2 linked regions of the Arabidopsis thaliana genome follow. The protein of the gene in region 1 purifies or fractionates together with the protein of each later gene. This does not show direct contact. Each region holds a gene or a part of one and is shown on either strand. Other genes may lie near its edges.

Evidence for each region.
Region 2: the proteins of MEE4 (region 1) and AT4G32470 fractionate together in Arabidopsis thaliana (co-fractionation; one large-scale study listed by BioGRID). This does not show direct contact.

What each region holds. Positions count from the first base shown.
Region 1 is NC_003070.9:1,284,629-1,300,955, forward strand, and holds MEE4 (GRIM-19 protein), read right to left. Parts: upstream 6,485-16,327; 5' UTR 6,359-6,484; coding exon 6,144-6,358; intron 5,596-6,143; coding exon 5,524-5,595; intron 5,438-5,523; coding exon 5,293-5,437; 3' UTR 5,193-5,292; downstream 1-5,192. Other genes in the region: HCAR (coenzyme F420 hydrogenase family / dehydrogenase, beta subunit family), read right to left, coding at 1-62, 162-213, 298-376, 511-552, 657-741, 888-999, 1,091-1,175, 1,268-1,373 and 1 more; AT1G04625 (Polynucleotidyl transferase, ribonuclease H-like superfamily protein), read right to left, coding at 3,203-3,292, 3,604-4,160, 5,066-5,192; EMB1687 (ribonuclease P family protein / Rpp14 family protein), read left to right, coding at 6,722-7,177; LIP2 (lipoyltransferase 2), read left to right, coding at 7,913-8,620; AT1G04645 (Plant self-incompatibility protein S1 family), read right to left, coding at 9,225-9,611; AT1G04650 (holliday junction resolvase), read right to left, coding at 10,265-11,147, 11,313-12,907, 13,078-13,227, 13,317-13,406, 13,494-13,628, 13,843-13,935, 14,228-14,275; AT1G04660 (glycine-rich protein), read right to left, coding at 16,040-16,327.
Region 2 is NC_003075.7:15,661,245-15,678,538, reverse strand, and holds AT4G32470 (Cytochrome bd ubiquinol oxidase, 14kDa subunit), read left to right. Parts: upstream 1-7,289; 5' UTR 7,290-7,443; coding exon 7,444-7,537; intron 7,538-7,648; coding exon 7,649-7,806; intron 7,807-8,420; coding exon 8,421-8,468; intron 8,469-8,518; coding exon of another isoform or gene 8,519-8,519; intron 8,520-8,829; coding exon 8,830-8,898; 3' UTR 8,899-9,320; downstream 9,321-17,294. Other genes in the region: AT4G32480 (sugar phosphate exchanger, putative (DUF506)), read right to left, coding at 763-1,187, 1,509-1,734, 1,839-2,051; AT4G32460 (choice-of-anchor C domain protein, putative (Protein of unknown function, DUF642)), read left to right, coding at 13,680-13,752, 14,368-14,865, 14,977-15,503; MEF8S (Pentatricopeptide repeat (PPR) superfamily protein), read right to left, coding at 15,834-17,294. UniProt on the Arabidopsis thaliana protein: Component of the ubiquinol-cytochrome c oxidoreductase, a multisubunit transmembrane complex that is part of the mitochondrial electron transport chain which drives oxidative phosphorylation.

The sequences.
Region 1 (16,327 bases):
ACAATTGGTGCCTAGTACATACAACTTTTCCAGATTCAGATGCTGCTCCACTGATCTCAATGCTGCAGTATAAGAAATCACTCTGCATTACAATACTATGAGAGTCACGATATGGAGAAACTTGAAATATACGTCCACAAAAAAGTATGTTGAGCCCATACCTTGCACTTGGCAACCCACACCGCAAAACAGAAGACGCTTCACTCCGGAAGCCTGTTACAATACAAATTCTAAGTTCATGTGAAATGGATTCAGTGATTGAAAACACAAACAAGAAATAAGGGTTTGGCAAATAACCTCGATTAATTCAAGAGTATTCAGATTAGGAGACAGAGTTGGCTTGACACCTCTTGCAGCCAAAACTTCTTCAGGTGTCCTTAGAATGAAAAGAAATGAAACATCAATACGCTTCTATATCCAGAGTAACAGCAAAATATGGATCCACATCTAAAAAATGGCGACTTGAAGAAGAATGGACTCAAAATAAACCACATTAGGAAGGTGGAAAACCTGGCTAATACTGGTCTTGGAGATAATCTGTCTTCAGGATCACTGTAATATTTCAATAAATCAGTTACATGGATAGATGGAAAAATCTACAGCATGGTCGATAAATGTAAGCCTAGTCCATTTCTGAAATTCAACAGTAGTTTTACCTCTGCACACAAACGACAGCTTCAACCATATTAGATTTCAGCATCTCAATGGCTATGGTTGTGACAATTCCAGTCCACTGAGCTCCTGCAACCGAAAATAGAATGAAAAGTAAACAACAAAGCTAAGCTAAATTCATCTTGAACGAGACACAAAAGTGCCCTAGCTTAGATTGAGCCAGGAAAAGAAGTTAGTAGAAAATGTGGAACAGTGGAAGGGAAGTGTCTATTTACCTTCGACAGGCTTCAACTTACGAGCATAGAGCTGCTCTTGATGCACCCCAAAATATGTATCTTGTAAGGAATCTGCTTTCCTTCCTCTACCATGCACAACAGGTTCCAAGCTCTGCACAAGAACTTAAAATATTAACAAAATAAGAATCTTAGCCCATCAATTAAAAAGAGTATCAAATCTTATCCATTTATATGGACATTACCTCAATCCTTGACATTCCATCTCCAAGAAATGCACATGCCTCCTTCACATGGGCAATGTAGTAGGTGTCGCATAGCCCGCACTGACTGCAAACCCATCAGAACACCAAGGATCTTGATAAGAATGAGACAAAAATAGTGAGGTAAACAAACAAACAAACAAAAAAGAAAGAAAAAACCTGCAATGGTCTTTAGCTGGATAGGTTCCTCCGGGTGGGATAGGTCTGGACTTTTCTCTCCAGTCTTCTCTTAATTTAACCTTCTTTTTTGGCTCTAGATTCATATCTGCAATTAAAGCCATAAGAGAAGGGTTCATGCAGGCTTCAGAGAGAAGATAAAAACACACAAGACAAAGATCGATGCTATACGAAACAAAAATCTGTTCCGAAATTCTGATGCTTTCAAACAGAATTGACATTATGCAGTAATACATACTAAGTTAACACAAGATTTCTATCTTCAAACTCGATAGTGACAGCTGTGGAAGACCAAATCAAGCATTCGACAAACATTACCACTATGTTCGAAAAGAAAACTCCGAATCTTAGATAAAATTTCATCCCTTTAACGAATTTCAGGGATCGGTTACACTGAAATTTTGTATAAGACGGGTCTTTTAAAAAACTGAAGAATCAACGACGTGTGTAAAACAGAGTGCTATAAAGAGAAGACGTGGCAGAAATAAATTGAGCACCTTTGGAACGCGAAGAAGAAGAGTTAACGACGGAGAAGACTGGAGGAAGGAGAGAGAGCCTGGAGGTGACGACAGTAATCATGGTTGCCCAGCCAGAGAAGAAGAGAAGAAGAGAAGAAGAGAAGAGAGTAGAGAGAGAGAAAAGAAGATATTTTTTTGCTTTTGAACTTGGATATCTTTTAGGAACCAAACTTGATAACCAATTCTTAACCGGACTGAATGGTTTTGGTTCGTAAGAGCTCTTTCACGGGCTTTCTCCATTTTTTTATTATTAAAATTTTTAAAAAGTTATAAGAGAGTTTTAATTTTTTTTCATATTCTAATGGTAAGCTCTCTTATAAGAGTTTTCTGAAAAATAAAATAAAATTTAAAATAATTATATTTCATATAACTTAATAACTATTGTAAATCAGAAAATATTAAACATATATTATTTTGAAACATTTTAAGAAAGATATGAAAATAAAAACACGGAATAACGATAAGTTCTGTCGATTGTTGCAAAATTTAAAGATTGAAAATAAGAACAAATTGTTTTAAAGAATAACAAGATTGTCGATTAAATCGGTTTTAATTTAAGGACTAAAGTGATAATTTGTATAAAGTATAAGCTCTGATATGATTATAAGTGACTCTATTGCTATATATCTGAAATTCATCTTCTTGTTTCTGTCTCCTTAACTGAATCCATAATGTGTTTATATAGTTATTCATCATATGTTCACAGAATTCTGTGTTTCTTTCATGTGCTAATTGGTACAATGTTAGTTTAATTTTAAGAGTTAAAAATATTTGTACACAAATTAAAGTTTTCACATAATAGTTTTCAGTCTCATATATTGCAACAAGTCTCTATGCAAGCTAACACAAAGGCAGTCTTCCTATGCAAGCTCTTTAGCACATCATTCAGATTATCTGATCGAACTACATACATGGCCACTAACACATAGTCACATACTAACCATCTCCTAACTTGTATTGGTTAAAACGCTCAATTTATAACACCACAACATCGACAAGAAATCGAGAGTAACAACTAAAACATGCTTCCACGACTCTCTATGATTCTACAAATAAACAACAGAGACTACAATAGCATTACTCTAGTTACAAGCAGAACCTAGACAACATAACAAAAGCCAATTCTTGATTCAGAACAAGGAATGATGACTAACTCAAAATGATTGTCAAAGAAACCCATTTCAATACTCTAAAATTGGAAAGCATCAATATAGCAAATGATCATAAGTGGCTGATACAAGGTCCAAAGCATGGATTACGAGAAGAAAACAAAAAATCCACCTTCTTCTTCTTCTTTTGTCTTTTTAGCCTCTGTTTGTTTCTGTTCCTCTCTTACAAAAAGAACTCACCGATCACGAGAACGTCAAAGCTCGATGATCACCATCCATTTTCACCACCGTCAGAACCGTCGGAACTGTAACTCGGTGATCACACCATCAATGATCTCGCCACCGTTTGTCTCTCTGTTTTCTTGCGTTTCACGATCTCTCTAGCAAATCATGGCGGATCTCACCGAGAGTCCCAAGTATTGACGCAAACCACGCGCCGTTGTCACGAGACTCAGGTATGTTGCTTCTCGCTTAAATTCCTATTTGATCTCTTGGAACCTTGGATTTTTAATATTTAGTTTCTGCACAAAAAAGGTCTCTTTGAATTAGGTCAATCAATATTTAGTTTTCTAACCGCAATTTCATCGGAGGAACTAGGGTTTGATCTTGTAGTTTTTTTTTTTTTCCTCAAACATCAGCTTTATTAATAATTTGCTGTAGCAAAGTCGCGATGTAAAAAATCAGTTATTACAAACGGGATATAGTTATAGCAATAAAACTGAGTGTTCAAAGGAAGTTGTTGTTTTGCCAGAGCATCTGCAGCCATGTTTGAAAATCGCCTTGTCCAAGTAAACTTGCATTCTTCAAATTTTGATCTCCAAGCGCTTATATCTCTTATCCAATTAAAAACTGCAAAATTTGAAGACCGACCATTGACAATCTCTGAGACTTCTTTATTGTCACCTTCAAAGTAAATTTTCCTATAGCCCCTACTCCAACAATGTTGCATGGCCATGACTAAAGCTTGGAGTTCACTTTCCATCGGATTGGTAGTAATAGAGCCTATAGCATGAGCTGCACCTAGAAAGGTTCCTCGATCATCCCGTAAGAGCCAACCCGCTTTACTCGGAGCGTTGCTGTGGTAAGTGCCGTCATAGTTGCATTTCGTCCAACCAATAGGGGGTGTTGTCCAGAGATTAGCTGTTGGTTCTTGTGACGTTACTCTGTCAGGTTTTGATGATAAACGGTGGGTGTACTCTTCTGCATCTTGCCATTCTTTGGCGTCTTGTCTTGCATATCGGAGAGAAGCTTCCCATGGAATGATCTTGTAGTTTAGTTTTACAAAATTGACCTAAAATTGGTGGATAATGTTACGACAGAGCTACACTAGGACTTTGGAATGGGCTTTGCTGTATGAGGCCTTCGTTACACTAGGACTTTCTTCATTCTAACTTTTTTTCTTCTTTTCTTTAAAAATTATTTTAACCAAAACTAAAACTTTCACTAAAACATTTAAATAAATAATTTTTTAAAGGTTTTTTATAAATACTAAATTAATATGACGTTGTGAAATCTAACCGGATTTTTGATCCCGCCATTTAACCGTGGTCATTAGCGATTCCATAAATCCAACATATTTTTCACATCTTCATGTATATTTAGCATTTATTTTTTGTTTTCTTTTCTTAAAAGTTTTTCAAATTTTTTTTGATTTTTTTAAAAGTTTTAATAAATACTAAATTAATATAACGTTGTGAAATCTAACCAGATTTTGGATCCCGCCATTTAACCGTGGTCATTAGCGATTCCACAAATCCAACATGTTTTTCACATCTTCATGTATATTTAGCATTTAATTATTTTTATTTTATTTTTTTAAAAATGTTTTCAACTCTCTTTTTTTTTCCTTTTTCTTTTTTTTAAAAGATTTTATAAATACTAAATTAATATGACGTTGTGAAATCTAACCGGATTTTGGATCCCGCCATTTAACCATGGTCATTAACGATTTCACAAATCTAACATATTTTTCTCATTTTCATGTACTATATTTAGCATTTAATTTTATTTATTTTCTGAAAAGGTTTTACTCTTTTTTTCATTTTCAAGAACTCTTGTTTTCAAAATTTTATTGTTTTGGATATTAAATTCACATATAATTATATATGATTTGGTTCGATTTCACTCGGTAAGCTTTTTCGAATATTTTTCACCTGGAGCTGTCAAATAAGCCAATTTCTTGCAGCTTGCTGATGAATCATGAAACTGTTTTTGCCTCATATTACGATTGAAACACTTAAGAGAAAACCAATACAAGAAGAATACTGTCTGTTGAATCATTCTCTTATTACCCGAAGAAAAAAAGATATAACAAGAACATATCAATCCTCAGCGAAACATCATTCATCATCATCATATGCATTTGAGAGAAACTAGGAAATCACCACACATCAGGACGGAGTTCCCCAGTAGCCGGAGGCATCCAGCGACCAGAATTGTACACATTCTCGCCAACTTTCCATCCCGGAACATCTTTCATTACATCAGCCTCATATTCCAGATACTTTTTCCACTCAGACACAAACCTAGAATGCAAAACGGGGATTGAAACAAGATTGCTATCTGAAGGTTGCTGCAGGCACATTGACTTAAATTTGAGAATATGGTTTACCTTTCATCTTCTTCTGCTTGAAGAATGGGAAGTATTGTTCTACGAGCAGCATATTTCTCTTCCTTCAATGCCCTAAACATCACATCAATCTTGATAAGAGCATTAATCTTGATACTTACTGATATCAAATCAGACTTGTTTAGGACCATTGTAAATGCATAAGAAGTTAATGATCAAGCCAGATATAATACTAAAACAATCTATCTACATAGAAACAGTATCCCGATAACTACTATCAAAACATGCAACTAGATAATTGCTTTCATCATAACAGATTCTCACATCTTTGCAATTGTGGCTTTAAGAGTTTACAAATTGTTGACGAACTTTATATTCGTTTAAGGCTAAACTCATGCTGATTAAGCTTCAACCAAAATGTCGGGGAATACTAATAACAGAATACATAACAGTGATTCAACAAGCCTATGTTTCCATAGGTTAATAATATTAACCAATTCCTACGATAAACATACTCAAGTTTCAACAATTATTAACCAAAATGTATCCTTCACTACATTACTATGGTCATCAATCACTCCACAACACTAATTTTACCAAGGCGATCTCGAATTTTAGAGGAAAAATTGAAATGTGAACGAGCTATTACAAGTCGTTCTTACCTGCGGATTTTGTTTCCCTGGCCGACCTGGTACATTCCCCAAGCAAAGGCACCAGAAACGGCAAGGAACATGGCCATTGCACTAGGACCCGTATTGGATATCCGGCGGGCATATCGGACCGGTGCGAACCCACCCGGTGGCGGACCATCCTGAAGCAGCGGCATATCCTTCACACTCGCCATTCCTGGCTTATTTCTTATCATCGCCTCCGTCATCTTCAACGCTCAATTTCTTCTCGACCAAATTGACTTTTGATCACTGAATCCGATTTGATTTTGCTGAAATCGAGTGTTCTAGGGATTCCGATGAACAACGAAGGGAACGTTGGAGATTAACTAGGCTAGGACCATATAACTAAGCCCATTAGTTAGCAAATCACGGAGTCGTATGAGATGAAATGGGCTATAACTAAGCCCATTTCAGATATGTTCAAAGACCCAAGTCCATAAGTAAGCAAGTCACGTGGAGTCACGTGATTATCTTCTTCTTCTTCTTACATATAAAATGCCCTAACTACATGTTCAGAATATCTTTAGCCGCCGACTTGGTATCATCAAATCGAGGAGATTCGAAGAAGCATGGTGGGATTTAAGAACAGATACATGTTAATGGAAGTTTTTCTGGATCCGGACAAGGATCTTCTCGGAGAAGGAACACCGATCATTCTTACACAATTCAATCTCTCGAAAGCAATCAAAGACAGTATCCTCGTCAATTTCGGCGAGTGTGGTCTAGGTTCGTCTCTCGGTTCCTTCCAAGTGAAATATGTGAATCCAATCACGAAGCTATGCATTGTAAGATCATCAAGAGAAGAACACAGACAAGTTTGGTTAGCAATCACATTGGTCAAAAGCATCGGAAACTGTCCGGTGATCTTAAACTTGCTCGATATTAGCGGTTGCATCAGAGCGTGTAGAGACACAGCCTTGAAGTGCGACAAGGAGAAGTTTGAGCAGTGTAGCAAAAGCTTGTCTGAAGAGGAGATTAGGCAGATGAATACTTCTCTTGAGAAGATCAAACTATTGGAAAACTGAAACTTTTCTAGACCTTTTTTCCTTCGAATTTGACCCCTAAGTTTTGAAATTGTACAATCTTTGTATTTTTCTTAATTCTGAAATACAAAGGGATAAGAAACAGCATCATTCCCTGAAAAGATTGTTTGCGATTTGAATCACTGGGTTTTTATATGTTGGAATTAAAATAAGAGGGTGTGAATTGTTGAGATATGTTCTAGATAAGGCGTAATTCTGTGAAAATTGAAAACTTAAGGGTACAAGTGCAAAGTCGTTGAATTTTGAAGCTTTTAATAAATCCAAAATTTCTAATCTGGAGAGAACCTATCTCTGAGGTCCAAACTCTTCGGTGGAGGAGAAGAACTGAAACGGTAATCTAGCTCTTCAAAGCCTCTTACTTTACCGATTACTTGCTCTTGTACCATGTATACGATCATTTATATGGGTTTTTATCGGTTACGGTAATCCTCCGTGTCTTTTTCTTTGTGTATGCATGTTAAGTGTTCGATAAAATACCTCAAAGACCTGGTACCAAAAACTATTCATAGGGTTTGTATCCTAGCTCCTCAGATTTTTATTCCTAATTTTAGGTTTGCTGCCTTTGGAAATTTTTTGTTGTGTTAGTCATGCTTTTAGACCCCCATCAGTAGTATTAAGTTTGTGTGGAAAAAAAGGTCGTGTTTGGAATCTTCCTATATAACCTAAGTAGTTAGAGATAAAGTGATCAATTATGGAGTCTGTGTTAATGTGCAGGAAATGAGATCCCCTAGAACCTTGGAGGTTTGGAAGCTAGGCACTGTCAACTATTTGAAATCCCTTAAACTGCAGGAGAAATTAGTTTCAGAGAGAAAAGCTCATCAGATTCCAGATACCCTCCTCTCGCTTCAGCATCCACCAACTTATACGCTCGGAAAGCGTAGAACCGATCACAATCTACTTATCCCTGAATCTGAACTTACAAAAATCGGAGCTGAACTTCATTATACTCAAAGAGGAGGAGACATCACCTTCCATGGCCCTCATCAAGCCATCTTATATCCCATCATTTCCTTACGCAGCATTGGTTTTGGTGCTAGGAACTACGTGGAGACATTGGAGCGGTCAATGATCGAGTTTGCTTCGATTTATGGCGTGAAAGCTCGAGCAGGAAACAAATGTGAGACTGGGGTTTGGGTTGGGGATAGGAAGATCGGTGCTATTGGGGTTAGGATATCTTCTGGAATCACTAGTCATGGTTTGGCCTTAAATATAGATCCTGATATGAAGTACTTTGAGCACATTGTGCCTTGTGGGATTGCTGATAAAGAAGTTACATCTTTGCGAAGAGAGACGGATACTCTGCTTCCTTCAGAAGAAGTGATTCATGAACAGTTGGTTTCTTGTTTAGCCAAAGCGTTTTCTTATGATGATGTTGTCTGGAAGGAAGATCCTTCACTCATTTTGGACACCCAAGATAAAGAATAATCCGGTTTGATCCGGTTTTGATTTATTGTCTACAAAAAATGTTATTATTTTTTGACGTGATGTGGATTTCTGATATTGTCTTATTCATTCTCAAATTTTCATTAAAATCAGTCATATGAAAGTATTTCTAAGGAAAACATTTATGCTCTTTACCAAGCCTGCAAGCACCATCAGCTTTGACAGTCCAATTACATAGATAACATACATCTTGATCTCTGAAAGCATCAAATATCTCAAACTGTTTGAATTGCTTTTCCTATTTAACAAAATGAGTTGGGTCAACCCATGAAGCCTAAACTCATTGGTAATGAGTTGTGTTGAATTGGGTTAACCATTTTGACATCCTTAGTGAGAAGAGTATGCAACAACAAACCTTAAGAGAGAAAACCAGTGAAGATAACGAATAATTCTCGGTTTACTCCGGTTTTGTGTCTACCAAAATATGTTTGTTTCTTACTCTAAGCATTCCGATGTCAATGAGTATCTTTAAGAAACAAATCTTTAAATAGTAAGAAATGCATAAATATTCTGTTTATTGATTTTATTGAATTTGAATATATATATATATATATATATATATCTTCATCATCGCAGGAGTACAAACTTACTTCCAAGGAAAACATTTCGCCTTTTTACCGAGCCTGCATGGACCATCAGGTTTTATTTCCCACTGACAGTCATCACATATACCTTGATCTCTCTGAGCATCATATATATCAAACGACTTGAATTGACTGTCCCATTGGAAACTGCAAAAGAACAATGTTGATTTCCAAAGATTTGGTTGAAACTTGAAGTGGTACTCTTGCTTGAAAGGCACCACGTGAATTCCTAGATCGTCTTGCTTGGATTTGCAATGTATGGTAAGAGGTGGACCGCCAATCAAGTTTGTCATCGTGACAACCGTAGCGCGCCAGAACGGTGGGAGGCCCCCATAACCCGAACCAAATAAAAGAAAGAAGAAGAAGCAAACAATAGAAACTTTTTCCATTTTGATGTTTGTATTTATGAATGTGGCTTTTCAGGTTGCTCTTGGAGTTGATTTTATAGTATTCCAAGGGCTCGACGGTTTCTTCACATAGTAACTATCCCATTGACTATTGACCAAACAAACAAAGAAATCAGTGTAAAAGTCATGTGACCAAACAAACATCCAAATCAGTAAAATGAGAATTTAGTGTGGTTTTGACCCAGACAAAAAAAATAAAATAATAATATTAAATCTTAATGGATTATGCGAAATTGATCGTCCAAAAAAACATGGGCTTTGGCCCCACATTTTCTGATGAAATTAAGCAAAATATATTACAAAGAAGTCCCAATTTTATTAATATTTTTACAATAATGTTTTTAAAATATTTTAATGTTACCTTGAGAAAATAATTAAGCCTTTGGCCCCAAAAATCTTATAGTCCGTTGTCGACAACTTAACCTCGTTTGTTCAAAAATTTCGGTGGTAAGAGGTAAATCCGCTACTATTTCAACTTTTTATCATGTTATAAGAGGAAAGTTTGTCAAGTTCCTCTTGTGAAAGTGTATTTGAGAGAAGCGCTTTGTTCTTTCTTAAAGAACATCTTTAATCCCAAACATCTGTTAGCATAAAAGTCTTTTAACAGTGTGTGATAGATAGCCACTGAAGATACTTTAGTCCGAAGCTGCGGTGAGGCTTAACAAATGAGAGACCAAATCTTCAAGACACGAAAACTGATTCGATAAACTCTTTTGAAACTCTTCACTCTCATTTTCATCTGACCTCAATTCGTTTAAACCCTCGTTAATCCTCTTCACTCCATTCTGCAATAACTCCATTCCTCTGCAAATTCCTTCTGGAAGTTTCCTTTTCTTGTTCGGTCGTTTCTCTACTTCCATTGACCTCTGGCTTCTTCCTTCTAGAAGCTTCTGCACTGTTGCCTTAACCTCGGTGCCTTCTTTCGAAAGTAACTCCAGTTCTTCTTCTGAAGGTGTGATTGAAAGAAGCGCTTGTTCTTTCTCCAAAAACATCTTTAATTCCGACATGAACCGCTCTGTTTTCGCTTCTTTTCCAGAAGCTATATCGAAGGCTAGAGCCGCGTCTTCAGGTACGAATCTCCATAGCTGATTACAGCTTGTACGTGCACAGAAGTATCCAAACGCAGTAACCGCGTGGTGTACCAAAGCCCAGTGGCGTTTCCTGAGAAGCATATGGTAGAGTTCCCAAACCGCAATGCTCTTTGGACACTTTTTGGTTTCAGACATCTCGTATTTGCTGAGTCCTGACAAGAAGAGAGCAAGGTTTGGCTTGGACTTACGAAGATGATTATGATGATGATTAGTTTCTGAATTGAATAGCTTTTGAAGCTCTGTTATGACATTATCCATCTCTTGGCAAGTGTATAGCTGTTCGCTTCTTGAGATGATAGATAATGTTTCGCTGAGAATCTCACTGTAACGTTCCTTCGTCGTTTCATCTTTGGAGTTTCTGTACTTTTGAATGAGAGCGACGACAAAGTTCAGAGTTTTGGCATCAATCTCTGATATGCTCATCTTTCTACACGGAAGAAAAACAACAACAGTCAATAATATCCACAACACAAAAATTGAAAATGTACCCTTTCGCTCACACTATTTTCAGTTACTATTATCTGACTTTTGCTATCTCGTGTAATAAAATCCCCAGAGAAGTCTCAAGAATAGATATATTATCATTACTTACAGTATCCGAAGGCAAGCAGATACTGTGAAAACTGGAGCTCCAAGCAGAGTGTATCTGGAGGAATTTGACGGTTTCTCATCGAATTTCTCGATGAAGTTGAAGAAATCTGCAAATATCTGTCTCTTTGCGTCGTTTTTTATTCTGTCTGGAAGAAAATTCAGTGGAAACCCGTCTAACAGCAATGCTAGATATACATCAGGTGCATGGTCAGATCTGCTCTCAGTAGAAATATGTTTGTAAACTTGAACTGTTAAAGATTTGGGGCTATGGGTAAGAAGAAAGCAGATGGACTTTGTAGTTCTTCTGAGAACGGAATCTGGACAAAGAGGTGTTTCTGATGATGGCATTGACATAATGAATGTACAAAGTTGATTAATCATATCGACCACCAAATCGTCAGTGGCATGACGAACCCAGAAGCACCAGAGTTCCATGACTATCTGCCAACACAAGAAGTGAGGATGCAAGAGATTCTGAAGTAGGAATGTTTCAAGCTCTTCCCAGGCAGGAGTTGAAGAGAGTATGATCATAAGGGTTTTGAGAGACAGAAGCAGAGCTGAATACATTGATTCCCAGATTACTATCTTCCCAGAACCATCTGCCATTGGTAGCTGAGAGGAAAGAACTGAAGAGTAAACCTCTTTGTCTGCTAATATGTCGAGAAGCCATTGCAGCTTTGTGGTGATTGCAAGCTTTGCATCTTTGTCAAGCTCGAAAGAATACCTCATGACAGACTGGAACAATACAACTCGGGCCAGGAGCAAATCTCTAGCACTTGTCGCAGATTCAACAGATAAAGACAAGATATCCACCAATGATGTTTTTGTGTGAGAATCATGGCTCTGCTTCTTACAGATTTGGTTTGAGAATTCATCAACGAACAATGAATCAAGAAGTGTGAGCCTGAATTCCTGTGTTAGTTCAGCTGCATTTAACAGTGCACCTAGAAGATCTACAGTTGTTTTCTCCAGAAGATCAGTCATTACTTCACTTGCGGATTTTCCATGAGTTTGTTGGCTCAGTGAAACTTTGAAAGCAGAGATCATCAAGATGCATAGTGCTATATCCTTGGACACCATAGACGCCTGGCTTGGAAACAGCGCCACAACTTTAACAGCATTGATAAGATAAAATTTCACAGGAAGAAAGACCCTTCTGGCTTCCGTTGCAGATATGTTTTCCTTCACCGAGCAAGACCAAGCCTCAGCAGCAAATCTCAGGGAGTCCTTGATCAGTGATATTAGCTTTAAGATAATTTCTCCTACATCTACCTTAGATACCAATGTCTGCTTGTCTAGTTGAAGCAATGTAATCACACCCTTCCAAGATGTATTAAGAATGGCCACAAGATTTCCACCATCTCTTGCAGCAAGCATACCCAATTCACTCAGAGATTTAACTCCCAGCGTAATCATGCTCACCAAATTACCCACAGCGTTGCCTTCCTCCATCCTTGCCTTTCCTACATGTCCACTCGTCTTCATTTCACTTACCTCACGATTCACTGTTTGAGAGTATTCTTTGCACAGACGAACAGTAGAATCAATTACCACTTGCACAGCCTTAAAAATCTCCGAGGAAAAGGATTCGACTTTCTGTCTCATAGAAAGGTGAAAGTTATTAACAGATGACAACAAGGCAAAACAATAATCTCAAGTTGATTCTCAACCTACAGTAGTAATTTCAACAAAACAAATGTTAAAAATGTTTCATGATATGGTACGTGTAGTTACTAGCGAAAGATAAAGATGATTTTCAAAGATACCTTGGAATTCATTATCAACTCCTTTGTCAAATTGAGCTGCTCTGAAACAAACTTATGAACTGTAACAGCTGAGGCATCATCAGTCATGAAACAAGTTTTTCCAATAGCAGTAAAGCTTGAGGCAGAAAAACGAAGATAATCCAAAAGAAGCTGCATAACATTGATTGAATAACTCAGTCCCTTCGAAACCATAAGCTGCGACAGAATCCTACTTCCAGAACCAAAAAGCATCAAATAACCTGAAAGAAAATGTTGGAATGCTCTTCCTCTTGAGACTCCTCCATGGACATAACAGACATGTTTAAATGTTTGGCACACCATTGGCTTACCTAGAAGAAGTGGAATAAGAAAAGATAATACAACACCCCTCCAAAATTGAGGTTGAGCAGTAAGCAATAAAAATGAAAACATTGTACCTTAATAGCAAAAGCAAGAAAGTAGTGTGAGCAATCAGGCCGATCCAAAGCGAGGTATTTTGAAGCCACAGGCAGAATCGCCTTGTTCAACAAACACAGGGAAACGTCAAGACATGTGAAATCTTCCCAGAGTGTCTATACAGCTGTCAAGGAATACTTGGAAACAAACAAACAAACCACTTAAAGCATATATGAATCCAAGTGAAACATGCAAATAAGCAGATATAAGTTCGTCACTTCATTATCCTGAATCCAACCGTCACATAATGGATATCCACATCTCAATTTTAAACATAGTATAACTGAAGATATTGAAAATCAGCAAAACTGATGAAAAGACTGGGGATACAGTTAGGCTCTCCACAAAAGAAGGCAAATCAGAATTCTCTTCAACATCTAACTGACTGAGCCGCGTGAGTAATTGAGCCCGATTCTCGATAAGCTGTTGAGCGAACAATGAAGAAAACGAAGCTCGTTAGATCCATGAGCTACAGAACTCAACTGAATCCTAATCACTCTATATATACATTAAGCTGCAGAAACTTAATCGGAAGGGAAATTGATAAGAAACATCACAAAACCCAAAGCAATCAGAAGAAATTTCTCGATTTAACAGAGAGGATTCGTAGAAATGACTACCGGAAGCGATAAAATCCACCAGAAGATTTTAGTTGGAAAAAATATACAGAAACCTAGAAAATCAAATCAAAGGTGGAAATCAAAGAGAAGCTTACATCAGAAGATTTGATCTCTTCGAGTAACTTCATCGCATTCTTCTCCATCACTCACTCTTTCTCTCTCTCTCTACAGGGAAATTTTGTTTTGGCAGTGTGAGAATCTCTCTCTAGGCTTTAGCTTCCCGCTCTTTACATTTCGCCTATATTGGAAATTTTCTCTGCCTTTCGCTTTTCAATTTTTGATTTATTAAACAAAAACAAATTAAAAAAAATGGAATATAAAAGATATTTTGAGGCCCGTTGGATCTAATTGGGCTTTGTAAGTAGCTCAATTTTCACTCGATGATTTTCAATTCGGTCCACCATTAAAATTGAAACCCATATCAAATCCTTAACAAAATTATTAAAAAAAATACCACAAACACCAACCAGTTCAGTTTTCTTTTCTATTTTTTTTGGGTTTTGCTTTTTTTACTACAATATTTTTAATGATTACAAAATTATAAATTGTGATTAATTTTACTAGCTAATATATATGTATATATATACAAATGCAAACGAATAAAAATTTGAAGGGTGTATGTATACGTCGTAATAAATTGCATGAGATGTAAATTTAGAGGTTGTGACAGCGAAATAGACAATAGAGAGGACGATGCATGAAATGGGACAACAAGTGTTTGACATGCAAATCCTATCTTCTTTAATTTGTGTCCCTCTCATCCCAACGCAATTATTACGTCATTTATTAGTGCTTCCTTTTTGTGGATTCTTGCTGTCTTCCTCCCACAATTAATGTATTTTTCCTATATATTTTGGATTAATATACACTAGATCATTTGCAAAGAAATTTCCAACCATGATGAACCATGCATAGTAATTAGTAAATAGGCGTTATTTATAGGGGTAGTACAATCTCAAGTTCTGAACAAATGTTCATTGTTACGTCCATCTTAAATATGTAAATTAAAAGTATGAGTTCAAACATTTCATACGAAATTACGAATCATATGTGTCAGTGTGTAGTAGATGGCTGAATGCATTATTGTGATCATCAACGAGGAAGTGTGTAGTAGATGGCTGAATGCAATATTGCGATCATCAACGAGGAAAATAATCCGGATATACCAATATCCAATGTTTTGGTTAGTTTTATAATATATTAATCTTCTATATAGTTAACCTTTGGTTAATAGATTAACATTTTTACTCAATTTTACTATATATTAATTCGTTTCTAATGATTATCGAAGGACTTTTTGAACCAAAACTCATATGTCTTCTCTTAGTCGAGATCTTTCAAAACCCTTGACCAAACTCATATATATATATATATATATATATATATATATGTTAATTTTACGGGTTTTACCACTTGGATATATATACTAACTTTTTTTTTTTTTTACTATATACTAACTTTGATATCCGACTTATTTAGAGTTAGACAGTGCAACAAAAACGAAATCTATACACTTTTTACATGTAATGTATATATAGTGGAAAAAGTTTGTACTCCATCCATTTTTGAGTGATGTTTTCATATTTTAAATATCATTACAAGTTCAAACCAATTTCATTTTCAAAAAATATCTCGTCGGAAACCTTGATAATTCCTCTTAATTAAAAATTTGTCTTTGAACATGCAAAAGTATGGAAGAAGAGAACCTCCTAAACCAAAACGATTCAAACATAGAGAGTCGCACATTTCATAACACCACGGCCGAAATCAAAGCAAACGTTACAAAAGCCCAAACTAGAAAATAGATCAAAAGTCACCCTAATGATCACAGAATTAAAAGACCAACAATAACATCGAAACTAATTAATTATTCCTTAATTAAAACCCTAACCAACAAATACTCTCTATTAAGGATGTGGATCGATCACACCACCGACCACGCCGTGTCCACCACCGATACCACCACCAACACCAATACCACCAGCCTTACCGAGACCACCAACTCCACCTAAACCACCTCCGGCTCCGCCTAGACCACCTAAACCGCCAATACCACCGGCTTTACCAATACCACCGCCAACACCACCTACACCGCCTAAACCAGCTCCACCTAGACCGCCAACGCCACCTAGACCACCAACACCCCCTCCAACACCGCCTAGACCGCCAACACCTCCTCCGACACCGCCTAGACC
Region 2 (17,294 bases), on another chromosome or scaffold:
CAATTCTTTTGAGGATTGGACCTTCTTTATTGCGAATTATAATTATTATTTTTTTCTCTTGTTATTCCGGTTCTAATAAGTTTTGTTGGAGTATTGGAACTCGTCGTCTATGTAATACTATCATTACGAAGAACACTCTTTACACAAAGCTACTAAGAACTCGCATATATCATAGAATACATCAATTTATGCACTTTTGGCCATACACAAAATTTCATCATAGCTACTAAGAACTCGCATATATGATAGAAGACATCAATTTCTGCACTTTTGCCTATACATAAAATTTTATCGTATGATGTGTTGAAAAACCAGTATCACCTTTTATTTTGGTAGATCTCCCTCATCAAAATCAAGACAAACATAAATAAGTGTATTGATATGATGAATGTTGACGTTAGCATTGGTCCATTACATGAACATCTGGCCTACCGACCAATGTTTATTTATGTGATTTTTTCACGTTTTGTTCACTTGCCAAATAGACAAAAAGGTCAAGTGATTCTTGCAAAACCGCGTTTGTTGACTTAAAACAATAATCACATGGAGAATTCATCAATATTTTATCTAACCATAGAATTTTTTTATTTATTTTGATTAAAATACCGCTTTGTATACCATGGTCCATAATAGTCCCAGAAATTACCCTGTTTTGGACACACAAAATTCTAACTGAGACAATATCATGCAAAATTTCAAAGTGAAACTCATTTCACTTTATTTCCTCCTAACTTATCGTATTCGTACGTCTATATAGATGTTTCACACAACCGCTACAACGGTCGGACGGCCTATTCCAGCACCAAAAAGACCATAATTCAACATAGAAACCCTCTGCTTTGCCACCGGAAACATATTCTCCTCAGTTTCGGATACTGGCGACACAGATTTTCTCTCACAAGTTCCAAACCATTTAGCCTGCATGTATTTGTGTTTTCTCCAAGGACCCATGTGCATCTTCTTGTCTTTCATACACTTCTTCGCTGCGGTGCACAATATCTTTATTAATGATTTTAGCCTCTCCGTTTTCCCGACATACACTTCCGGTAACATTCCGATGAGTCGCTTGTACTCTTCACTGCCTCTCGCCATCTCAAACTCCGCCCTAAAACATAGTTCGATCACCACCCGGATCTCGCCTTTCTTTGAAACCGATTTGTCCACGACCTCCAAGTATTCATGCTCACCTAAATTTGATAAGTAAACGTCATGGTTAATTCAAATTGTTAATTATAGTTAATGACAACTTGTTTTAGGGGCGAAAACGTTCAAGATATATTTATTCTATTTATTTATATAGAATATATAGATAATTCCGTTGATGTGGTTTCTTAATTAGTAATGTTATTGATAAAGATACGTGAAAGTTTCAAAACATGTCTAAATTCATACGGAATCTTCATAAACAATACTAATCCATAAAAGAATCACAAATCACCTTCCATAATTAGGAAAATAAGAATACTAGGAATTTAAAGATAAGAGTAAAATTGGGTTTGATTTATTACCTGCAGGGATCTCATGAGAGCTTCTCCACTTAGATTTGGAAATGACGCAATCATAGCCAGCTTCTCGGAGGAGGCTAGATACTTCGCCGCGTAAACAGCTACGACAACCGTCGGTAACCGGTCTCCGGCAGACACATACCAAACCCTTTGATCTAACTACTTTCAACGCTTCCTTAGTTGCTTGTCTTATCTTTGTCTCAATTGAACTTGTCCTATACAGTGTCGCCTACACATTTCAAGATTTGGTCCAAAAAGAAAATTAACTTATAAGACCCCACAAAGAAAACAAAGAGAATAATAGTTTCTTTAGAGTTAAAAATAAAAATATACCTGGAGAAGTTGTTCGTGTTCTTGCCAAAATTTTCTGTTCTCTTCTGAATTACAATCGGTGGTATCGTTGTCAACTTCGGATTCGTCGCCGGCGGCGAAGTTATAATCCTCCGGTGAGTGGTTTCCTTCGTCGAGGAAGCCAAAAAGAACATCGTCGGAGCTAGCCATGCCGTCGAGAAATTTCATGATGTCATCGGAACTTTGCCGATCCATTTCTTGAAGCAGGCGAGAGAGAGAGAGAGAGAGATGGAAAATGTTTTTTGTTTTTTTCTCTCTTAATTATTTTTTGTTTCGATGAAGAAAATAGAAATAAGTGGAAGGGATATATATAGTCAGAAAAATTGAAGGCTTAAGTAAGACCCGGATAAGGGGTTAGGGACCCGCCTGAGAGGTGGGAGAAAAAACAGATACAAGGCGCCGCGAAAGAGTGCTTCGATGCTCTGTTTTGAGTTTGGAAGAAGATGACGTGTCAGTATATGATTGGGAACTAAGTCGGATCTGATGGCTAAAGACAGCTAGATCTTATGTCAGCTTGTCCCAACTTCGGACCACAGATTCGGATATACTCGATGCTTTTTTTTTAACAAATAATTAGTATGTACTATAATCCATTTTTAACAATTAGATTTATCTCTATACTATTTTCTTAATTCTTAATTTGAAATAAGATTATCTGAAAACTAGATAAAGCGTGTATAGTTTAGATTAACGAAACAATTAGAGCCACTAAATAAACCTTTTTTGAACCATTTTTAGTAAAAAAATTAATTCTCGTTTGTCTAGTGGTATGGTTGCTCTAAGATAAAGGAGAACTTGGGATCAACCAATCAACCGAGACAGTAAACTAGCTTTTATTTTCGTTGTCATTATCTTAAGGCAAGGTTTATGGAGCTTTTAGTTGTATTTTTGTTTTCATTATCACAAATCAATTGTATCAAATTTTGTTAATCATGTCACATATCCTTTTTGGATGCATTATTAGCAAGCTTACAAACTACTTTTTACAATATCCATCACAAAAAATTTAAATGAAACTCAAGGACGGTATATACCATTTAAGAAACAAGTTCTCATATTTTTCTTGATGATTTAACCGGTTTCATGCAAAAAAAAAAATGTTTATGTTCCTTGACATAGAATTTATTTTGTATGGTTGAATCGATCGTCCACAGGATTAAGAAACTTTTTCTGTTGCTTGTTTTTATTTAATTTTCGTTAAAGAAGATGCGTATTGATCATGAAAAAAGGTATATAATAATATGATTAATCATGAAAAGCACTTGCGACTCGCTAGAATCGTCCTGATCTTGGATACTAGGACCCACGTGCCAATAATTAGACGCGGACAAAGACATCTACGTGGAAGATAGCCATACACGTGTCTCTTTTGTCCTAAACGCCTTATCCCGGCTCGTGCGTACTCGGGGACTCCTTGTCCTGCCACCAAAACAACTATTGGATCGGAGGAAATTAGCTGAAAGTTAGAACTTATTTTAAGAAAATATGCCGGAAAATATGATCTTCCTTATTTCAATTGATTCGATCTGATTATATTTTGAAAAAAAATTGCTCTAATATAAATATTAACGGTATCAGTTTATCGGTTTGTTAAAAAAATATAATCAGTTTTCAGATACCAAAAATTACAACAAAATGAAATGGTATACATACTTTTAGTTTTAGTTTGGTAAGAAGGATTGGCAAATGTGGTTATAGAATTATATCACATTTTCGATATATATTCAGATGTCTATCAAACCATGGACACATGCATGGGTTTTATATCACTTTTACAGTTCTACAAATTAAATAGATGTTTTCTCGATCGCCCATATGAAAAGTTGATCGGATCTTAAATATAATCAGAAAAGAGTAGGAAAAAATAAAATAAAATGAAAGGATTCGGTTTAGTAGAATATTCCGCATTTTCTCCACGAAGGATTTTGGAGACTGGGAATATTCTGGAGTAAGGGTCACATGGTGGCAGCATGTGGACCAGATCATCATTGAGATGAGGTAAATACTAAACAGTTACACCATTTTGTTAGTCACTAACAGAAAGAAATTGTAAAATGTGCAAAAAATGCAATAATGCCATTGCATGCATATTATGTTTAGTAGATACGTTGGTACATCGAATAGTGATTAGGTCATTCTAAGGAAACTTGAAACTTTTGATACTGTACTTGTTATACTATTTGGTTAACAAAAACGAAATAAAATTAAGATTTGAAATTTAAATGATTTATTTCAGAAATCGACGTTTGGTAATTAGTATGAGAGTCAAATAAATTTGTGTGTAATTAAATTAGGTCAGTGCTGTTCAAAGCTGTCCATGTACCCATATATGTTTGTGGCAAGGATATGCTATTATAATGTTCTTGATCTTTTTTTTAAAAAATGTTCTTGATACATCAATTACAAACTAAATTAGTGCCTTAGTGGAGTGCATATTGGACACGTTAACTAACCAATCTGATATATAATGCTCATCTTTCGCGCTAATATACACTACAGAATTTTGATGGCAATGGAAAATATATACTACAAAAAAAATTAAAGTTTCAACTAATTTATTTACATAAATTAAAGTTTATCAATTAACGGACAGAAGAAAACAAAAATTATTTGAAAAAAAAGTTTAAAACTGAATTAAATAGAGTTTGTTGTTGTAGACAACAACAACAACAAAAAAAAAAAAAAAACTTGTTGTAGACAACAATACCATCAATTATTTTTCTTTCTCTACGACAGTTACAATAGTGAAAACCCATCTTTAATTGCAGGAGATTTGTTTTTTTTAGAAGACGGACTCATTCGACAAGTTTCCATACGTTTGTATATATAATTATACACATGATTTTCCCAGTATAAGATATGTTAAACTCTGTTCAGCTATATTTTATATCACCCTTTTCGCCTTTAATTATTGTTGTATATATCTTAAAAACTTTTAGGCTAACTGCTGAGTCATATTCAACTTACTCCAACAGATTTGGTTAAATATCATGCTGCTAATCGGTATATTTCTCTAATTCAAATGTATGATCAATTATATTGTGACAGTCATCAGTTATATTATTAGAGAGGGCTAGAGCCTGGCTAGAAGAGCATCCGAAGAGTCAAAAAGAAAGAAATGTTAATGGAAAGATTAGTTATAATCTTACTATTTTTAACATGTATATGTTTTTTTTTTTTGATAAAAGACAAGCAGTTGAAATTGAATAATACATAAACGTTAATTTATCAAAACTTTTGAAAAGGATCGTTCTGATTACAGATATGTTAGAACACTTGACCAAATTAAGATACTACAATTTCTTGTATTGATCAATTGTGATTTTGACAAGAAAATTGAAATGATAGGGTCTTTAGAAGCTTTGGGGATAGCAAAGGAAAATTATAAACAAACACCACATTTCGCCTAGGAATAGCAGAGAATTCCACATTATTTATGTAGTTTTTAAACATTTAGTTCTTGAATTTAAGAGCTTTATTCAGGAAGAAGAGTGGGATAAGAAGGAATCAATATGGAATACTTTTTTTTCATAAATTCGTTTGTCTCCCAGCATTTAGACTGATGGGATATTCCCATCCTAAAAATAAGAATCTAAAACATTGTATCCTAAATATCTATCTGTAGACACTTTATTGTGTTTTTATAAAGCAACAATAATCAAATCAAAGTTCACAATCAATCTAATGTCCAAGCAAAAACAATTAAAGTGCTACTAAAGTTCCATTTCTTAATGATCTACAAAGTGTTGTTTATCTAATAAATTAAGGCAATTTGCATTCATCATATAAATTAAATACAACTTTTCAGTGTAATATATATGGACCTCACTATCAAACACTTATGAAATATTGGAATGTTGTGTAAAAGTGTAAAAATCAAATCTTAAATAAAGATAACTACTATCAATATGACAACAATTTGTGACAGTACAAAATTTAAACTAAACTATAATTTCCATTTTAAAAAAAAAATTGAGACGGCCAAAAAGGGCCAATTAAAAAGAAGGCAAACGTGATATTAATTAGTTACTGAATAATTAACTGCCATTGAGGCCAAAACCATGTGCTATGAAAGCTGTTTATCAGCGAATTATAACATTTTGTGTAAAAGAAAGACCAAGTCTACACAATTTTTAAAACATTTCAGTCCAGTAAAGTTAATCATCAGTTCATCACTCCAAATTTTATAACTTATATACGCATTTGCTTGAATAATTCTGCCATACAATATAATTTTATGTGATTTGATAAATATATATCTAATTAAATTAACGTGAGCTTAGCAGAGAGAGTATTATGTGCTAAGCTAAAACCGGTTTATACTGTTCAAAACATCAAATATTGAGACAAGCTCATATAGTCACTATACATGCCCACATGCATTAACCACTCAGTCAGACGAGTTATATATGGTTGTCTTTTGAAACAAACAAAACAAACTTTTACAATTCATAGTTGTGCGTTATTATCGGAACACAATTATTTGGAAAACAAAAATTATGAACTCATGAAGCTAAATGGGACTGAACTTTAGGCCTACTTCATATTTTACGATAAGGATGATGACGACGACTTCGTGGCTAAAAAATAGCAATTAGGATATGGGTCGTGATCAAAAATCCCACCAAACTAAAAATATATCAAACTAAATCAAGTACCTACTACATGCATGATTATCTCTTTAACCTAACCTTAATTAAAGTTAGTTTAGATATTGACAAGAAACTGTTTAAAATGCTTTGCTAAGAAAGTGGGAACACAAGATTTGAGAGTATTTTTGTTAAAGTCACAACATTTTAACCTTAAATTACACTTGCAACTTGAGACGATACTTAATCACTTTTTAAGTTAATTTAATCATAAGCAGACAAAAACATGCCTTTCAACTCTCAAGTAGTGGTGTTAGCCGGAATCCAATTCGTCTAGAGTAAAGAATGAAGATACAATTATAATTGTTTAACTTACCTCATCTATATAACAAGATTATCATTTCTCATTCCAGCTATTAAATTAAACCCTCTTTTTTCACAACTGGTATATCAATTTTGTGATTAATCTAGTTACCATTCATACAACTAGCTTTGCCTATACATAACATTCACATGAGTTTAGTGGATTTTACAACTTAAATTTCCCCCATTTTTTTTTTTTAAGTAGGATCGAATAAGAGTTAAATGCATGTATTTGTGAAACACGAAACAAAAGGGTCACTAAAAATTTGCACCAGCCGGGAATCGAACCCGGGTCTGTACCGTGGCAGGGTACTATTCTACCACTAGACCACTGGTGCTTCTTGTGAATTATTAAGACAAGTTAGTTTATAATCTAAATACAAGTTATCACTGGGCCTTAAATGACGCTACAGCTGAGCGACTTAAGGCCCAAATATTACTACGTGAGTACGTGACCTATATATGTCAAAAATACGTGAAGCTTAGATGGGCCACTTAAGGCCCAAATAAATACGTGAAGCAGAGCTTATGTGATTATTTCCTCTCTCAGGTCAGGAGTTGTTGTAGACACAGCAGCTTGGTCTCTTTCATTGGCACAAAGAGAGAAAATCTGAAATTGAGAGAGACAGAGAAAAATGGCGTCGCTTCTGAAAGCATTCATCGATCCAAAGAAGAACTTCCTCGCTCGTATGCATATGAAAGCCATATCTACTCGCCTTCGCAGATACGGTCAGATCTCTCTCGATCCATAACCCTAATTTCTGAAATCCGAGTTTGTTGTCAATGTTCATGAGTGAATCTGAATCTGCTTTGTTTTGTTTGGTTTGAATGATTAATTAGGTCTGAGGTACGATGATCTGTACGATCAGTATTACAGTATGGACATCAAAGAGGCTATGAACAGATTGCCCAGGGAGGTCGTTGATGCTCGTAACCAGCGTCTCAAGCGTGCCATGGACCTCTCCATGAAGCACGAGTACCTCCCCAAGGATCTTCAGGTATAATTCTTCATTCTCTATTTCTTTGGATGAAATTGATGTTGTTAGAATCAATCTAGAATATGGATAGGTAACCCAGGCATTTGAGCTCGAATATTGATTAAATGCTAGAAAAATGAAGAAATTAAGATATCAAATTGAAATCGAAACTAGTTCATCAGAAGATATTACTTTACTTTGGGGATTTTGTGATTGTGGAGCTTAGATGTATATAAACTAGTTTATGCATAGTCTATGCTTGTCTCTTGCGTTACTGTGTTTGTTCTGCTGTTGCTTGAGATTATTGGAAATTTTGGATTGATGAAAGGTTGAATCCTTGTTACATCTTTTTTTTTCCCTTTCAATAAAGTAAAGTGGTGTTTGCATGTATACTATTGTATTACTCTATGGTTTAGACTTTTCGATTTTTGTTACTTTCTTATTTGATGTTGTTATTAGATAAGAATGTAACTGTTATTATTGCTGGCTTAATTAAGCTATCAAAAGTTCACAACTTTAAAAGTATAAGGCTCTTTTAGTTTTCCAAAATTGATTAAGCTATCAGAAATTGCAACTGTTAGGTAGTGTTGTGGATATTGTAACTTTCTTATTTGATGTGGTTATTTCATATACAGGCGGTGCAGACCCCATTCCGTGGCTATCTTCAGGACATGCTTGCTCTTGTAAGTCTCCTTTTTGATGAACTAACATAGAAATCATTATCTGCGTCTAGGGTAGGAACAATCAAACTGCAATTCAGTGTCATAAAAGCGTACTATTCCTTCTTGAAGTAAAGTTTCCTCTTTCTTTTGGGCCTATCTGCTTCCCTGCATTGACAATGATGAAAACTTTGATGAGATGCATGTCTTTTCCTTCGTTATTTGAAGCAATATGTTTTTTTCAGATCTTCAATTTCCCTATTTCATGAAGTATTGCATCATAAAGAAAATGTTTGCAATGTTTGAAAAGTTCTGAGTGTAACTTTTCTGTAAGGATAGCCCATCATCGTTGTCATCATCCCTGTCTTTATGTTGTGATTTGCAGGTTGAGAGGGAAAGCAAGGAACGAGAGGCCTTGGGAGCTCTACCACTATACCAGCGCACACTCCCATAAGCATTCCTTTCCCCTTTTCTTGTGGTCAACGCTGCTTCTCTGCATAAATCTGCAACATTGATATTTTGGTGCTCACTTTCTGAACAGAGCTATTTACTATTTGAAAAAGCATAAATCTGTGATAGTTTTCCTAAGTGGATATGTTGCTAGTTACATTTTTATCGCTTTTGCTGGCTTGAATAAAATCGACGACGCAACTCAAGTCTGTCTCGATGATTTATCATTTTCGAGGTCTGGTTTGCTCTTTTATTCTTATAATTGGTCTCTCAGAATCGTTTAAGTTTTATGCATTGAAATGTAGAAGTGCCATGATTCCATATTCTTGGGAATTTGGTCGAGCCATGTTGATGTATCCTTTGCATTGACAGTTTCATGTGAGAAATTAATGGGAGAGAATTATGAGTTTATTAGGCACCGATAAAGCCAGTCGTTGAACTGTCCAAGTCTATGGTATGGGACTATGGGTGTGTGTTTTCTTTTTGTCTCTTAGTTCACTGAGTTAAAAAGATAGGAAGGAATCATCCGTACTATTATTATATGATCGGCCTTGGCAACCGAAAATTCTTACGTTGAGTTCAAACATAATCGACGAATACACAAAAAATCTACTTGTGGAGGAGATAAACCGGCAAGTGTAAGAAGATGGAAAGAGATCCTTTGGGCATATCGGGGAAATGAAACTTGGATTTCAAAAACTAACTTATTATAACTTATCGGACAGGGTGTAAAATCATTCATTCATAAGATAGAGAGACCCATGTTATGTATATAAATATTTCATATCCAGAAAAGAGCATTTGCATGTGAGTGTGTAGACTGAAACTCAAGCCTTTAATAGATTCAGGCCAGATCTATTCTTTTAGTTACCCATCTTCCTCTCTGTCCCCTCTCTCTCTCATCCTTTTCTTTTGCTCACTTTCGTTTAGCCAACCACAAATGTTAGAAATATGGATTTGAATTTAGAGATGAGATGGTAACAAGAAGATTAGATGAGTTAAGACTCGACACAAATTCAAGTATATTCCCTAAAATGATGTTTTTGGTTCGACTTCTAGGCTAGTTTTGAGGGCTTTACAAACCATCATATGAAACTATGAACATTGTGGCAACCAAATGGAGAATCAATAGATAAACTACGAAAGTAAGAAGATGTGTTGTAGACAAAAACATGCGATCTTGAATGGTCCATGGAAGTAAAAATTAAGGTTGTACACAAGGTGGATACTCATTACTGACAGAGACAGATGTGACATATAAAAAGGGTCAGTCTTAGTTTCATATTATTGGTTTTAAGATTGGTGTATGTTTTGGATATTTACTTTTTTTTTTGGGGGGCTGTCTTTTGTTTTTGCTAAGAAAGTTATAATGAAGGTTTAGGTGTTACAATAAGACCTAGAGTAAGTGTTCCTTGGCAAAAAAGAATAAAAAAAACAAGGAATCATTTGGATTCTACACAATCTCAGAGAAAAGAAATAAAGATTAGGATTCTTTAGCTGAGCCAAAGTGACATAAGATTCTTGAACTTCTTTCGCTTCCGCCTAACAGTAATGGAGTTTTTGATAAGCCGGTCTACTTCCTTGAAGATTGTAAGCGGCATCACTACGATGTTGTTATGGATGAGGTTGTTCCTTTGTCGCCAAACACTGTAAACCAGGGCATGGACAAGCAGCAATCGAAGGGTCTGCGGAGAAGCACGATTCTTTACCCTAGCTAGACCAAAGTATTAGATCCTGCCATTCACCAAAGACTTGTGGGGACAAGTGCAGACGTTGCAAGGCAAGAGTCCATATCGTTCTCGCAAAGGAGCAGTGGAGAAAAAGATGATCGCGTGTCTCCTCCATTCATACACAAAGGCAGCAGTCAGTGTTAATCTGCATTCCCCAAGACGCAAGTCTTGATCTTTTTGGGGCTGTCTTGTCCTTTTCTTCTATGTCTTCTCCGTTATTTCGCTCCCATGCAAACAATTTCTTATCATCACTCTTTTTCTATCAACATTCTCTCTACTCTTTCCTGAGTAAACTATTTACAATTTTCTTTCTTTTTGTTACCATATAAATAAATTTCCCATACAAGTAAATTAATTAGTTCTGAATAACAGATGTGAGATTGTAATTTATAACAATTGGCTCTCAAACTTGATAGGTAGTTAAATAATTGTAGTATAATAAATAGTTGATGTTTTAAACATATATAAAAATAATCTAAAACAACTATGATGTATATGACATTGCCGTTGCCCGTTGGCACCACAAGTCAAGGTTGTGATTTCATAAGTTACATTAAATAGTTTGGCTACAGATTTGAATTCTACTAAACTAAACATTAGTAATTTTGCAAATCAAGAAAGACGATATATAGTCAAATGTCGTTTAGTGGTCCACTTTCCCATGCATGTATGGCTAAATCTTTTTAATAGTAATGTGGATCCAGGGTTAACATCAAGCCAAAGTTACATGGCTGTGTGGCCCCGGTTTTATGGCCGAAAATCATAAATTTAGGTTTAACCACCAAGTCAAAACACACAGAGTTATACGTCCATCTTCATACAATTAAAATCTTTTAACTGAACCTAACTTTATTCAGACTACTTAACTCATACATGACACCTATAAACATTTTGTGTTTACTAATATTTTTCCTTTTCCAAATTTTATCCAAAAAAACAATTAATTTCTTCTTAGTATTTTAGACCACTTTCATTCTAGATATACTGGTAGTGGTGACATGCATGGGAGAATTGACCACTTGGCCATTAACTCTAGACACACATATTAGACATGGAAGCTGCTTAATGGAACATTTTAGATACAATTGTCAAAACAAAAAATAACATATTAGCAACAATTGCATGTTAGAGATAAATAATGCATTATTTGATACACAATTTATACTTATACAATGCATGTGTATGTATTTATAAGCACACGCAATATGTTTTTTAGTACAATAATTTGTGCAATAAAAGCACCGCTAAGAGAGTCGGTGGCATTTGCAGTGATCCATCAATTCTGACGCTGCAGAGACAAAATTCGATTATTCTTTAAATTTTAAATATCATATATTGCTCTACATTAAATTATATATGTTCATGGATCAGATTTACGATTGACGACGAGCGAAGGATAACAATCCTTTACAAAGTATTTTATTGTCTATTTATGTTTAATTTTCTCATACTCTCCTTTTTTCCATACAATTTGACATAGTCTTCTATAGAAATTAATTTTGACACTCGAGAAAATTTTCTGTAATTGATACATGCATTTATTCACATTATGCTAAAAGTCCGACCACATTTATATCTAAGACTATAAGTATACTATAATGTAAAAAAGCCAATTATGTTTCATCGTTTAATTTATATAGTAATGGTTGGTTAGTTATTTTATTGTAATATTTCAAAAAAGTCCCAATATGCTTAGATAGTTTGTGATTATGTTGGTCATGTTCATCTATGGTTTTTTTAGTTTGGTTTAAGAATATCGATGATTATTTCCCGACAAAGGTGCAGACTAAATCTAAGAAAGCACATGATGATAAAAGTTGGAAAAAGACTAGTTAAATTAATTTAGATCGAAGTCGGACCATTATTTGTTTAAACTTTAAACTATTGAAGTAAACAAAGAGTCCGCATGGTTTTATAATTTATACTTCACACTTGGGATTGTTGGGGCATGTGTGATGCGTTTAACGATTCTAACAGTATATGAAATTATATTTTTTGGTCTTGTTATTTGTCTAAAAACCTATATTTTTCTCGTAAGAATATTGTAAGAGTTATTTTTCGAAAATTTAAATAATGATTCGATCAACACTTTTTCTCATTTTATCAAACCCCTTTGATTGAATAGACCGCTAAAACAATTTGCTTGATTGGTCTTTCTTACAACGACTAAGTTACAAATGTGACTGAAAGTTACCGATCAAACCCATGAAAAAAACTTGAGCCCATATACCTTGCTATGGATTTGGCACACAGACCAAGCTTTCGAAGCAACTGTTTGGTTGATTCGGAATTGTTTTCTGATAATAAATAATATTTATATTATTCGTTATGTGTTTGTGATAGGATAACTCGGAACATAAGCAACTTTAACTTGTGGCGATGCGAGAACCAATGTGAAATAGGCATGTGAGAGACCACATTGTCCCACAGCTTTTGTCCTCTTCACCCCCGCAATTATATTACCATTAATTAATCACATAGTTATCGTTTTCCAAATCGTAATATACATATCGTAGTTGTTCATCTTTAATCTATTTTCGGTAATCTAACAAAAAGAAAGATATCTCGTAGTGAAAATACGAATATCAGTGCTTTTTATGCAACAATTATGACATTAGGTATCGTTACTCAAAGTTAAATGAATACAATCTAGACGACGCTTAAAAAACGAATAGATGATGGAATCACGACTTAACACTAGAATTACCATGGAATATAGGCAATTTGCGAATTTATTCAACCAAACCAAAAATCGACAGTGTTATTTAGTCAAACCTTCTAAGAAAAAGTGACCCATTTCCAAGGAACGATGAATAAAAAAACCGGACCAATGTTGTTCCGACATAAGTCACTAGTGGCAAAGTCATAATTTAGACAAAGGAAAGGGGCCTTTCTTGCACAATTTTGCATATAAGAGCTCTCTCTCCTCCTCGTTCTATTCCACTCCCACTAAACATTCCTTCTCTCGCTCACTCTTCTCCAATCCTTATTTTATTTTTTGAAAGTTTAAAATTTTATACAACATATCAATTTGGGGTAGAAAAATTCGAAAGAAATGAAAGAGATGGGAGTGATAGTGCTTCTTCTCCTTCACTCGTTCTTCTACGTTGCCTTTTGCTTCAATGATGGTAAATCCCTCGTTCTTTATCTTTTCCGTAGAAATCTCGCATTTTCGTATCTTGTCTATATACTAGCCAAACCAACAAAAGAAACTCGTAGTGAGTTCCAACAATATTCTAGTATTTAAGAAATTCGTGTTATAAAAATTTGTACAGCTTCTTATAACTTGTGTGTCCAAAATTTTGTTTGTCGTCAAAATAATTCATTTATATTGCACCACAAATCATGAAGAATGACCTATTAGCTTGACGAACATGTTGAACACTACGCCGAGACAGATCTGTAAATGCACATGGTGTTTAGTCAATCGTTTTCAATAAATGTGTCACTAAATTACCCTCACCTTCCCATCTGTAACTAACCTTTTTAATCATTTAAATATTTCATACTTCCAACTTTTTATTCAATTATTATACACTGATCACTTGTTTATTCATATACAGATCTAAAATAGCAAGATTGAGAATTTGTTTACCTAGAATCACTGTCAATTTTAGGTGACTAGATGCAGTTGAAGTTCAAATATTATTGTCAGCAAATCACTATCGTTTAAATCAAATTTCACAACAAATCCCTAACTAGTTTTGTTTTTGTAACTTGATTACATTAACAAAACAAAACAGGACTACTACCAAACGGTGACTTCGAACTCGGTCCACGACATTCGGACATGAAAGGAACACAAGTTATCAACATAACAGCAATCCCAAACTGGGAACTCTCAGGCTTTGTCGAGTACATTCCCTCAGGACACAAACAAGGCGACATGATCCTTGTCGTGCCTAAAGGCGCATTCGCAGTACGTCTAGGCAACGAAGCCTCAATCAAACAAAAAATCAGCGTTAAGAAAGGGTCGTACTATTCGATAACGTTCAGTGCTGCTCGAACATGCGCACAAGACGAGCGGTTAAACGTTTCCGTGGCTCCTCACCATGCAGTGATGCCGATACAAACAGTGTATAGTAGCTCAGGTTGGGATTTGTATTCGTGGGCTTTTAAGGCCCAAAGTGACTATGCAGATATAGTGATACATAATCCAGGTGTTGAGGAAGATCCTGCTTGTGGACCTCTCATTGATGGTGTTGCTATGCGAGCCCTTTTCCCTCCTCGTCCCACCAATAGTGAGTGCTCTTTTCTTATACTTAATTTGGGGTCTCGTTTGAATAAAAATATTCTTAATGGGGCAAATACGGAAATATCTAAAACATGTTGGGTTTATTTTTGTTTTGCAGAGAACATTCTAAAGAACGGAGGATTCGAAGAAGGTCCTTGGGTTTTACCAAACATATCATCTGGTGTTTTGATTCCACCAAACTCCATCGACGATCACTCTCCGTTACCTGGTTGGATGGTCGAGTCTCTTAAAGCTGTCAAATACATAGATTCCGATCATTTCTCCGTTCCTCAAGGCCGTCGCGCCGTCGAACTCGTCGCCGGGAAAGAAAGCGCCGTCGCACAAGTTGTCCGCACTATCCCTGGAAAAACCTACGTCCTATCCTTCTCTGTCGGAGATGCTAGCAACGCTTGCGCCGGATCAATGATCGTCGAAGCTTTCGCCGGAAAAGACACGATCAAGGTCCCGTATGAATCGAAAGGGAAAGGAGGATTCAAGCGATCGTCATTGAGATTCGTCGCTGTCTCGAGTCGGACTAGAGTTATGTTCTACAGTACGTTTTACGCGATGAGAAACGACGATTTCTCGAGCTTATGTGGACCGGTGATCGACGACGTTAAGCTTCTCAGTGCTCGGAGGCCGTGAGCTTGCGGCGACGAGTTGATTCACGGGACAATGAATGATGACAGTCACTGTGGGTTTCTCGCGTCTAGTGAGAAATTGGGCTTTTAGGCCCAGTGGCCCACTGTTTTTGTTGTTGTTTTAAAGCTTAATGTTATTTGACAAAGAAAAAAGAAATTACTCTGGTCAATCATATCGAACCGTGAAATTTTATGATCTTGTGATTTAAGAATGTTTCTTCCTCACTGAGTGGACAAATACAAAACATCCTGCAAAAAAAAATGAACACTAAAACCATGTTTCCATTGTAATCCTTAAATGTGTGTTTGCTCCTCCTCTCTGTGTGGAAAGACGTTACCAATACTCTCTACAGGAGCAAACACCATCTTTCATATGGTGAAACCTCTTTGCATCTCGCGAAATCAACTCTCTCCCAACTATCTTTGACATCAACTTCAATGCGTTATGGCAATCTGCGCATACACGTAGATTTTTCATTACTCGTATTAACGAACGCGCAGGAGTGTCAAGAAATGTCGAGATGAAAGCGAATCTCTCATTATGATTGAAAAGGTTTTCGTCTTTGCTCTCTTGGTCCACGTCGTGCAATGCAAGTTTAGATAGAGGTACATAACCAATTTCTATCATATGCTCCTTTAAACTCTTCAATGCCATATACAACTCTCTGTTTTCTGGACGAGAAATATCTCCAGCTGCCATATATCGAATCCCATAATTTGGCCCTTTGGCCATTCTTTGTAATTTCTCTTTTACTAGGTCTGATGATTTCACAGGTACAAGACCCGCCTTTGACTCTTTGTTCAGTCTACTTGCATCAAGCTGCTCAACCATATCTTGACACCGGTCGCCAAGAATTAAATCCCCATGAACCCGTGATAGATTCATCAGGGTTTCCCACAAATCTACATTTGGTTCCATCGATTCAACAAATCTCAAGGCTTCATCTAAATAACCAGGCTCCGCCAACATTTTAACGAGGCTCACGTAATGTTCCATACAAGGGATAATTCCATACTCTTTGTACATGGACTCAAAGTGCAACAGTCCCTCGTTCATGTCACCAAGAACACCACACGCAAAGAAGATCTCTTTAAACATTTCACCATCAGGTTTGTTTCCTTCTTGTTTAAACCGAGAGAACGTATCAATGGCGTCTTCCCCTTGCCCATTCTTTGCAAAACACCTTATAACACCACACCAAGTCTCCAAGTTTCTCTCAGGCATACTATTGAAAACGGTTAATGCATCTTCCACAGAACCACAACCAGAGTACATTTCGATTATCGAGTTGTAAGCGCTGATATCTGAAATCCCAACCGAAGAAGTAATAAACTCATGAACAACTTTGGCTTCTTGTAAAGCTTGTGCATCTCCACAAAGCTGTGCTATCCAAAACAGTCTAGGTAAATCCACAACATAACCCTCATTTCTCCATGATTTAATAATTTCAACAGCTTTTTTAACCTTCCCTTCTCTGCAAATCGAATCCAATTCGTCCAACGAGCTATGACCACTATGATCTTGCTGAAAATGATTCCCACCAGTATTATTCTCTTGTGGAACTCCATTTCCAGTAGTTCCATACGAGGAACAACCATCACTACTTTGCCAATTTTGATTTCTCTGATTAATAATTTCACTATGTTCCCCATAACTCTGATTCCGATTGTATCCGTTTTGATAAAACCTATTCGTCGGATTCTGCCCAGAAACAGGGTTTAAGCTCTGCTCATATGAATTCTGCTGAAACCCACCAAGCGATTGTTCTCCACCGTTAAACCCATTTACATAACC